2 linked regions of the Caenorhabditis elegans genome follow. The protein of the gene in region 1 interacts with the protein of each later gene in a pairwise test. Each region holds a gene or a part of one and is shown on either strand. Other genes may lie near its edges. The genes, in order: srh-87 and vglu-3.

Evidence for each region.
Region 2: the proteins of srh-87 (region 1) and vglu-3 interact in a two-hybrid assay, tested with the Caenorhabditis elegans proteins (one large-scale study listed by BioGRID).

What each region holds. Positions count from the first base shown.
Region 1 is NC_003283.11:2,943,770-2,947,469, forward strand, and holds srh-87 (Serpentine Receptor, class H), read right to left. Parts: upstream 1,934-3,700; 5' UTR 1,914-1,933; coding exon 1,702-1,913; intron 1,652-1,701; coding exon 1,506-1,651; intron 1,357-1,505; coding exon 844-1,356; intron 795-843; coding exon 610-794; 3' UTR 608-609; downstream 1-607. Other genes in the region: srw-137 (G-protein coupled receptors family 1 profile domain-containing protein), read right to left, coding at 1-49, 102-190.
Region 2 is NC_003281.10:10,298,109-10,303,930, reverse strand, and holds vglu-3 (putative vesicular glutamate transporter vglu-3), read right to left. Parts: upstream 3,554-5,822; 5' UTR 3,506-3,553; coding exon 3,392-3,505; intron 3,337-3,391; coding exon 3,190-3,336; intron 2,636-3,189; coding exon 2,081-2,635; intron 1,979-2,080; coding exon 1,829-1,978; intron 1,646-1,828; coding exon 1,280-1,645; intron 1,110-1,279; coding exon 1,014-1,109; intron 961-1,013; coding exon 903-960; intron 843-902; coding exon 779-842; intron 726-778; coding exon 641-725; 3' UTR 522-640; downstream 1-521. Other genes in the region: T07A5.1 (uncharacterized protein), read left to right, coding at 28-137, 390-521; vglu-2 (Major facilitator superfamily (MFS) profile domain-containing protein), read right to left, coding at 5,584-5,755.

The sequences.
Region 1 (3,700 bases):
AGTAATTGAAATGATAGACTCATATGACAGAACTTTCTCTGTGAAAACTCTGAAACTCTCTGATCTTGAAATACCTTTCTTTTGATTTATATGACACTTACGCCAGATATCTTTCGATTCGGTATAGCCGACGAGCAGTAGAATGCTCAAAGCCCGGAAAATCAATTTGAAGATATTTGTCACTAATCATTGTTGTAAAACTAAAAACTTTTTGATATCAAAAGGAATGGAAAAACAGAAAGCCTCCAGAAATTTAATTTTTTTTTTTGATTTATTGCGGAAGGAATTGAAGAACGAATATTTTACTCAAAAGCTGGAACTAAAAAAAGGGAATTGTCTCAGAAAAATATATTATTAAATCGAAGACGGAAGCTGCAGAAATGATAATTATCCCTTAATTTTCAGGCTACGTTCAGACATCACTTTGAAGCATGGCCGGGTGGCAATTGCTCCAGCAATGGCCAAAGTTGTCAAAAATTTCCGATTTCAGCACATCCCTGTTGTGATATTTGAGCATTCTACTGCTCTTCGGCTTTGTTGATTTGTAGGAAAAAAGGTAAGGTTTGTAAAAAAACATAGTTTATTAAAAAAACTCCTTTTATGAAAAAATTATTTGATAACAATTTGAGTAATTACCACAGAATCTATATCGATATTTTTCAAGGGTTGTTTTGGTTTAGATTTCCAGAAATATGACAAAACGAACTGCCGATAAGGATGATGTATAATGAGTACAGCGACTGTAGATATTAAGCCATGAATTGAAGCATGAAGAATTGACAAATTGGTTAATGCTGGAAAATTGGTTTTTTGTTTAAATTTACCCACAAATTTATTCCGAACCTTGATTATAATAATTAAAATCAACAGCAAACCAAATATAAAAAGCGGTCGGTAACATGAACAAAACAGGAATTGAAATTTGTAGAAGTATGCTTGCCAAAAATTTAATTTGCAACTTTCTCGTGGTCTTTGAAGTAAACGAACGAATCGAGAAAAACAAATAGTAGACACAACATGTCAAGTAAAACAAAATTTGAATCACTTCTACCACAACTCCTAATACTGTGAAGGCAATTAAAAAATGAATATGATAATCATCGATGCACAATACAAAAATATTGGAAGCCGTGAAAAAGTCTTGAGAAGGACATGGAAGCCGTCTGAGAACTTTAAAGAGTGCTTCTTCCTGGTTTGCTGGTATGAAAAATGTGAATGATGCTGCGTAAAATACTCCAATCAGTAGTTTTGTTAGATAGTAAATAGTTTTCGTACTTTTCCGAGTTATTTTGAACTTGTTGAATGGAATTGCGTTATTCCGATTTTCTACCAATATTGTTGTAGATAATAACATGACTGAAACAATTTTTTGATTTTGTGAAATTGATTGCGCGCTGTGTGGTCTGACGCGATCTCGCTCAATGTCGGCTGCGGATTTTTAAAATGTATCTGATGGGAACTGTTCCAGCTTCCAGATTGCTACACTTCCGGATACCTAAACTTACAATTCAGACTCTGAAATGCCAGCCAAGCCTGAATTTTCGGTGGGACACCCAAAAAGTTCAACAAGCCAACTGAAAATCCCGTGAGAGTTGGAAGAAATATATATGGTGTCCCGAGGCAATTCAAAAACACATCCGCCAGACACGTCCTGAATATTTCTACATGTGCACAGTCAATGTTTGTGATGTGTATACTTACCAAACATGGAAATTGAAAAGCGGAATTCGATAGGTTGACATTTCCTTTGGGCTTTTGTATAGGATACAGTAACCTCCAAAAAGATAAACTGGAAGTGAAAATGCAGTCAAAAAATGGGAAGTGTAAGAAAAGTCTTGCCAAGAGCACAAAAACGTATCGCATCTTGGACATGTTGTATAGTTTGTTAAGTAATACTCACGGAGACTAGACATGCTCACACGATTTTCACAAAAAAAAACTGTGAAGTGAATAAACCCAGTTTTTTGGTCGATATGACAGTTGTTTTCTATAAACAAAAAATGACAAAAGTTTTCTGAGAACAGGATGACTCAGTTGGTTATCTCAACAAAAATAAAGACAACTAAGAACCTAGTGGAGTAAATGAGGAAGCACGGTCATTGTGAAACATCAAATACCCTCTGTTTCCAACCTACAAAAGCAATATACTCATATTTTCATAATTACTTCAATTTATTTTCATAATTACTCCAAAAACGAGGAAAAGGAAAAATGTTTTACAAGCTGTAAGTTTTGAAGTGAAATTGCCGAATACGTAATACTTCAGAATACGTTCGCCAAATTCGATAGAAACACAAATCCAGAATCAATAACATAACAGTTATACAAAAAAAATCTACCGCGTGTTAATCGTAAAAAAAAACGGTAGGGATTCCATGGGAGGCAGGCGCGGTAGGGCCTCAAGCCTGCTGCCGACCTGCCCGCAGGCCTCTCGCCTCATTTCTGTACCACATAGTGTGTAAGGTGGTTTTATCTCCGCGGCCGACACTTTTCAGGTTCCGCGCCGCACTACATGCAGGCGGCGCGAGGCAGGCGGAGGTAGCCGCAAGGCGGGCGCGGCTGGCATTTTGGCTCGGTTCGTGTCCAGTGGTGCAAATAGCCGACCCGATGTTTTCAAAAGTTGAATTTAATATATCGCGTTGGAACAGTATACATATATTAAAATTGACAATTTTTTTTCAATTTTTATACTTGATTTTTTTTTAAATTTTGGTTATGTATTCAATAATTTTTTAGAAATTCAATAGGTATTCAATTGGCTCCAAATATCCAATAATTTTTCAAGTAGCACTTCTTGATTTCTAATTATTTCCGTAGCACATTACTACTACTGCATCCTGTGAAAATTACCTGAACGCCTCATTTGTTGGGTTTTGTTTTTGAGTCAGTGTTTTTGAGCCCAGAGAAATTAAATTTTTGTTAAACTTAATTTTGTAAATCTGATCTAGTCTATCTCTGATTTTTACCGCGCTAGATTAATTCAATAAAATTGCAATACTCACATTTCCTGTATCTCGACGGAAGGTGGAATTTAGTTCTAGGCGTGTTCTGGTTGCTTGATCACCTCTCACTGTCAGTAAAATATACAAAATCGTCAGCGCTTTTTTGGTGCAACTTTTTATTTAATTTGGAGTATGTGTTCAAAATTACAAATATACCTTTTGAAAATATAGTTTTAAAAGTGACCAAATTTTACCAAATCTGGTAATCATCAACCTTAAATGTACCTAAATCGATTAAAAAACGCAAGATAATTAATTTGAACGCCCTTAATTAGAGTTTCCAACCGCTGCGACATTGGCAAGTCGGTCAAAATTCAAATTCTGACTAATGTTATGTCATTTTTGAGCCGCCATAATTTTTTTGAGAAGATTTCAAGAAGTTTCATCATGAAATTCGGCGTTTACCAACAATTTTGAGTCTAATAAAGCGATACAACAATTTCGACTGCACCACCTTTTCACGTTTAGCCATATTTCAAATAATTTCAGAGAATTCGTTCCGATCATAATGCACCAAGAGTATACAATATCATTTGCTAGTTTAGTGATTAATACCTTCCATATCATAATTCTCACCAGTGCTGCTATGCGGAACTCTTCCATAAATCTCATTATGGCTGCGGTTGCAATTTTTGACATATTCACATTGTTTCCAACTTTCGAGCGTTTCATTTCGGAATTTATCAGCTCGTTTCATC
Region 2 (5,822 bases), on another chromosome or scaffold:
TTTCTCAAAAAACCCCTTTCTTTCAAGGCAATGACATAAAATACAAGTACACCTACCCGGCATATGATCCCTGGTGTGCTGCAGATCTTCACGGGCACCTATTCTGGGTGACCTGTTCCCCACAGAAAATGCTCGTGGTGAGTTGCACTTGAAATGTTTAGGGGAAAACTGAGAAAAGTTGTTCACGTGGTGTACACGATAAAAGAAATTCGGAGGCCCGCGAAGTGTTGGCTGCGCCGCTTTGTAAAAAATAGAAGCAGCCGACACGTAGCAGGCTACATTCACAGTGGCACCAAAATGAGCCAACAACCGACATATCGCGGGCTCGTGACGACCCGCGAAATGTCGGCTGCTCTTACTAAAACTTGTTAGTGTTAACATTGTTTCAGTTCGAGTACGGTAACCTATGGTACGAAGACCACCCAAGTAGCCAATACGACTGGCGGAGCACAGCAAAGAATGTGAGAACGAACGGGCTGTGGAGTGATGTGGAATTGAAAAATGTTTCCAAATTATATTAATTTCATTCATTTATAGATCTTATATGAATTTCGTCAGACCTCAGATTTTTAAACTCCAGCCAATGTTACGACAGAGATCGCCAGTCAAAAAATGTACAAAAAATTGAATAAGTGCAAAGTCACGAAGAACTTTCAGATTTTTCAGCGGGAGCTCGAGCTTCTACTTTTTTGGAGCAAGGCTTCATCTCCGAGTCTTCTTCCATTCTGAAATGAAAATTTTTGTTTCAGAGTGACAGACATCACAGAAGTCAACTCACTTTTCATAACTCGTGTCGCCTTCCCGATTCCTTGTTTTTCTAGACAAACTTCTCACTTTGATCGCTGAAATTTGATCTATAGATACATGCATCGTAAAAAACCACAATATATATCAAATCTTACACATTCTGCGAACAAACTCGTTGAACGTTTCCTCCTTTTCCGGCTCGCGGGCCCACGGCTGAAACAGAACTTATAGATTTTCTGTGAATTCCAAAACAAAAAAAAACTCACCAAAACATCACCCTTCGCGAAAATGAGGAAGAAAATTACTCCAAAAATATCAATCGCCATGGCCAAAAGAAAGACCCATTTCCAGCCATCTGGGTTCTGCAACAAAGTTATCTATATTACAGTAATCCTACAATAACTCTACAGTAACCCTACACTTATCTCATAGTAACCTAAAGAAACCCTACAGTAACTTTACTCTAAACCTACTGTAACCTACAGTAATCTTACAGTATCGCGGAACTACATTAATACTGCAGAAGCCTTACCTGATAGGTAACCGTATTCGTTACCATTCCTCCAACTCCTGCAACTGCTCCGAGCCCGTTAGCAATTCCCATAAGGATCGGAGCATACCTTGGAGCAATATCGAAATGGTTGACGTTGAATCCAGAAAGTACGGATCCAGATCCGGTACACGCGATGACCAGGCACGTCACCGCAATCACAGGATCCCGAACAAACGCCAGACATCCTAGCATCATTGCTTCAACTGTGAATCCAAAAGTGTTCACTGATTTTCTGACGGCTTCTGTGCTCATTTTTCCAGAAGATCTTAGGTAATCACAGAGTTGACCGGTGGCTAATGTGACGATACACATTCCAAATTGAGGAAAGATTGAGATGAATCCGCTCTGTAACTTTAAATTTAGCAGCCGACACCTGATGGGATTTCTAAATTTTTGAAAAATTGGCCAGGGCTTCATATTAGGAAATTAGAAGTTTCAAAAATCCTCATTTTTTCAAATCTAAAGTAATCGTACTGTACTACTACAGTACTCCTACAGTACCCCTACTCCACTTCGGAAAAAACGCACGTTTTTAATATCAATATGCAAGACGTCTTTCATATAGGTCAGCTGATTTCCGAGGAGCAAGAAGAATCCCCAGGAGCGGCAAAATGTGCAGATAATGATTGCCCAAACAGCTGAGGAGGTCATCATGTCACGCCATGGTAGTGTTGTGAGCTGAAATACCGAGGTAAGAAGAGAGTTTCGGCCGGACAAACAGCGGCCGTCACCCTACGGCTCTGTCACAAGACTGTAAGACGTCTGCCGCTATGGACTTACCGACATATTCTTCACTGCAACATCTCCAATTTTCTCGGTAACCTGCTTCTTCTCATCATCGCTGATGTATCCATGAGTCTCCGGACTATGAGATGACACGTACATCCATATAAGAGACCATATAATTCCCACAACTCCAAACACATAAAAAGGTGTGCTCCAACTAAAATGAGAGACCAGGTACGCCGAGGCAGGTAACCCAGTCATTACACCAACTGAGGACCCTGTGAAGGCAGTGGTTGCGAGCTTGGACCTTTCCAGTGGCGGAGCCCAGAATTTCCAAACTCCGTGCATCGCAGGGTACAGTACCCCTAACGCTAATCCCTGGACAGCTTGAACAACCATCACAAAAATGTCAGTGTACGGATGAAAGTTGAAGGAAATCGCGGAGAGTATGTTCATGAAAGATGCGACGAGAATTCCTAGCATGAAGATTTTGTTCGGTGCAAATTTGGCGGCTAGGACACCGGCGGGAATTTGGGAGGCAGCGTAGCCATAGAAAAAAGAACTCTCCATCATTCCAACTTCAGCTCCTGTCCACAAGAATTCACGTTCCTGGAAACAATATAAAAATTCAGCAGCCGACATTTCGCGGGGAGCTTGCTGGCCAACAAAGTGACCGACGTTTCCCAGGTAATCATCCTTTAGTTTCTGATTCCAAAGATCCCTCTGTTCAAAAAAAAGAAGATAAGATAACCTTTCATCGAATAACCCCCCGAATCTAACTTTTGAAGAAGAAAGAAAACATTAAATATCAGTTTTTATTACCGGAAAACCAGTTCTCTGACCAAGTTTGGGGAACATTTTCTATTGTATCCTACTGGAAATGTAATACTGTTCTAATGATTGTTATAGCTTGAAAATTGTTTGAAATTAAACGGCCAGCGTCCGACAATTCGCGGGTTTGCTGATTTACGAAAGTGCTGATTTACTGAAAATAGAAAAAACCAGCAATTGCCGAAATTCCCGATTCCTGAAAATTAAAAAACCGGTTCAATAAAAGATCTTTTTATTTATGACAACAGTCGACGTTTCACGCTAACAGGGCTTACAAGACTGCTAGCGTTAACTGAAGCATCCGACACTTCACGGGTGTATATTCAACTCACATGAACTTCTCCATATGCATCTGTAAAATTATTGACCATCCGATTCTTGGCGACACCGAAATTCGACCGTATTCCAAATGAAATCGCGAATCCGAAATGAGCTAGAATAGCAATTTGCCATCGCACTTTTCGCAGGAAGAATTTTTTCTGAAATCCAAATTTCTCACTAAAATTTAAAAAAAAATCAAATTCTTGAACTAACCTGTTCAGTAATAGTTTGAAGCTGTTCCTTATGCTCCCAAGTCTTTCTGGAGAACGTTTGGCGAACGGTATCTGCTACCGCATTTGCGCAGTTTCTAATGGATCCGTTCGGCATGAAATTAAATTTGTTAAAAAATAAGGTAGTTAGTAAAGACGTATGGAAAATATTCTCTGATAGAAGATTGGTAAACGCCAAGTTTTCGGGGGCCGATAGGGGAGGAGTGTAGGATGCGCAGGCTACAATGATTAATGGACACAAGCTGTTGCCTTTTTGATAACACATATTGGCAATTTCGTAATGAAAAATGTTAGACAAAAATTGAAAAATGTTAGACGAAAACTTGCCTCAAAATTCAGTTTTTTGATTCAACTGGAAGCTTCTAGAACTTTAAAAAAATTCGTTATATAATTAAAAAGAGTTTAAAATTTGAAACAAGTCCCCGAAGAAACAATCTGAAGCTAGGTGCTCAAGCTAAGTGCTCAATAGGAAATATTATTTCATAAAGATCTGTGAATTATTAAACCTAAGAAGTTCAGTATTTCGGTGAGTTCATGATTTAGTTTTGCGGGAAGTTCAAAAATCAGTGAAAAATGCGTTTATTTTCAACGAAATCTCGCCGACTTTTATCGAGTATTTTTATGACAATGAGTTCTTTGTTTTGTTCTAATCAAATGGTTGGCAATACTTCATAAAGTGAACATCGGAGAATTCACTGTCGACACAAAGCTCTCCAACGTGGCCGTCCCATCATTGGATGCCGCTGCGTTTCTCGCTGCCAACTCGGTGAACACCTCGGTTTATCATCTCGTCGCCGGTCAGGCATCGATCTTCCTCGACGGTGAATTTTTGAACAAGAAGGAGTTTGGAGACGTGGTTGCTTCACAGAAGTTTGAGATTTCGCTGGGTGTAGACCCGAACATCTGTATCCAGTACAAGCCTGAGAGAAACTACCAGGAGCACAACAAGAAGGTCACCTCTCTGGTCACCGAGAAGGCCACTGTCGTCACCAATCTTCGTCCAAATTCGGTGCTTCTGACGATTCGTGAGCAGCTGCCCAGATCAACGGATTCGAGAATCAAGGTAAAACATTTTTTGTCTTTTTTGTATTTCGTTTAAAAAAATTGTAAAATTTTTTGTTTAAAAATCCCATTTTCCAGGTTATTCTCAACTGCCCAGAGGCCATGGAAGTCGACGAGGCAAGTGTGCAGCCGACGGTCGGTGCGACCATCACGCCGGAAAGAGTTGTCAACTACACGATTCAGCTTGAGCCAGGAAAGTCGAGCAATGTGGTTGTCAAGTTCCCAAGTTCACAAGGCGTGAAGATTGGCTACAACGAGCCGTTCGGAAGATTGTTGGACAATGTTTGTGAACTATAGGTATTCTAATTATGCATTGTGCTTCCTTGATTGAATAAAGGTTTTTTTCTGGCAATGTCGTTTTTTTTAGTTTTGGCAATGTCGATTCGAAGCTCCATCACACAAAAATAATTTCTCGTTGGTGCCGAGCAGAGCCGTGCATCATTGTTTTTTTCGGCAAATTACAACTTTTAGGGACTATTTGTGGACTTTTAAAAACTTTTCAACAGGAATAAATGTTATTTTTTTAGATAGAACGAACCTTTTTCCTACTACCCCAAAACTAAAGTTCCTAAATTCATAGGCTTGGGCTTCCAGCTCACCGGGGTCCTAGATTTCTAAGATCCTAATTTCTAAAATGTTAGTACTGTTCCGGGAATTTTCAGTTATAATACTGAACGTTAGTTATAATACTGAAAAAAAACCAACCATTATGTGAACAAATGTTGTTAAAACGACCGACACTTGACGGGCGCTTGAAATCTGAAAATTCGGGCGAAATTCAAAACAAATTTATAAAAATCGAGTGAGTCGTATTGATTGGTAAGAGCATAAAACGTGACTAGTTTGAAAAAAGACAGAAAGAACACATTAAAATGACTACAGACATTTGAAAAAGTTTCAAGTTCAAGCAGGAGAGGATGAAAATAAACATCCGACATCTGCCGGGTTAGACACAAAATTCCTCCCTATGCGCCTTTAAAGTGATCGGAATTGCATGTTTGTCAAGGAACTACGACGACATGGCCGTCAGTCGGGAGAAATGGTAAAGGACATTGAGATCAGTATAGGGAATTTGGACAATATGCATAAATATGAAAAATGTGTGTGAATTTTTTAAACTTCAGGCCTATCCGTTCTCAAATTCTTATTTGCTGGCTCTTCAGGCACAACTTCGAGGCTTCCACCGATGGCTTGCGTCTCGTTCAGAACACCTTCTTCTGGTACTGGAACATCGGATTTGGCACAAGCCTTCATTTCCGAAGAGTTGACTCTTTCTTCCTCCATTCTGAAAATTTCGAGGTTTAGAGGCATGCTCTCATGAGAATCTGGATTTGTGAAATTATGAGTCCGAG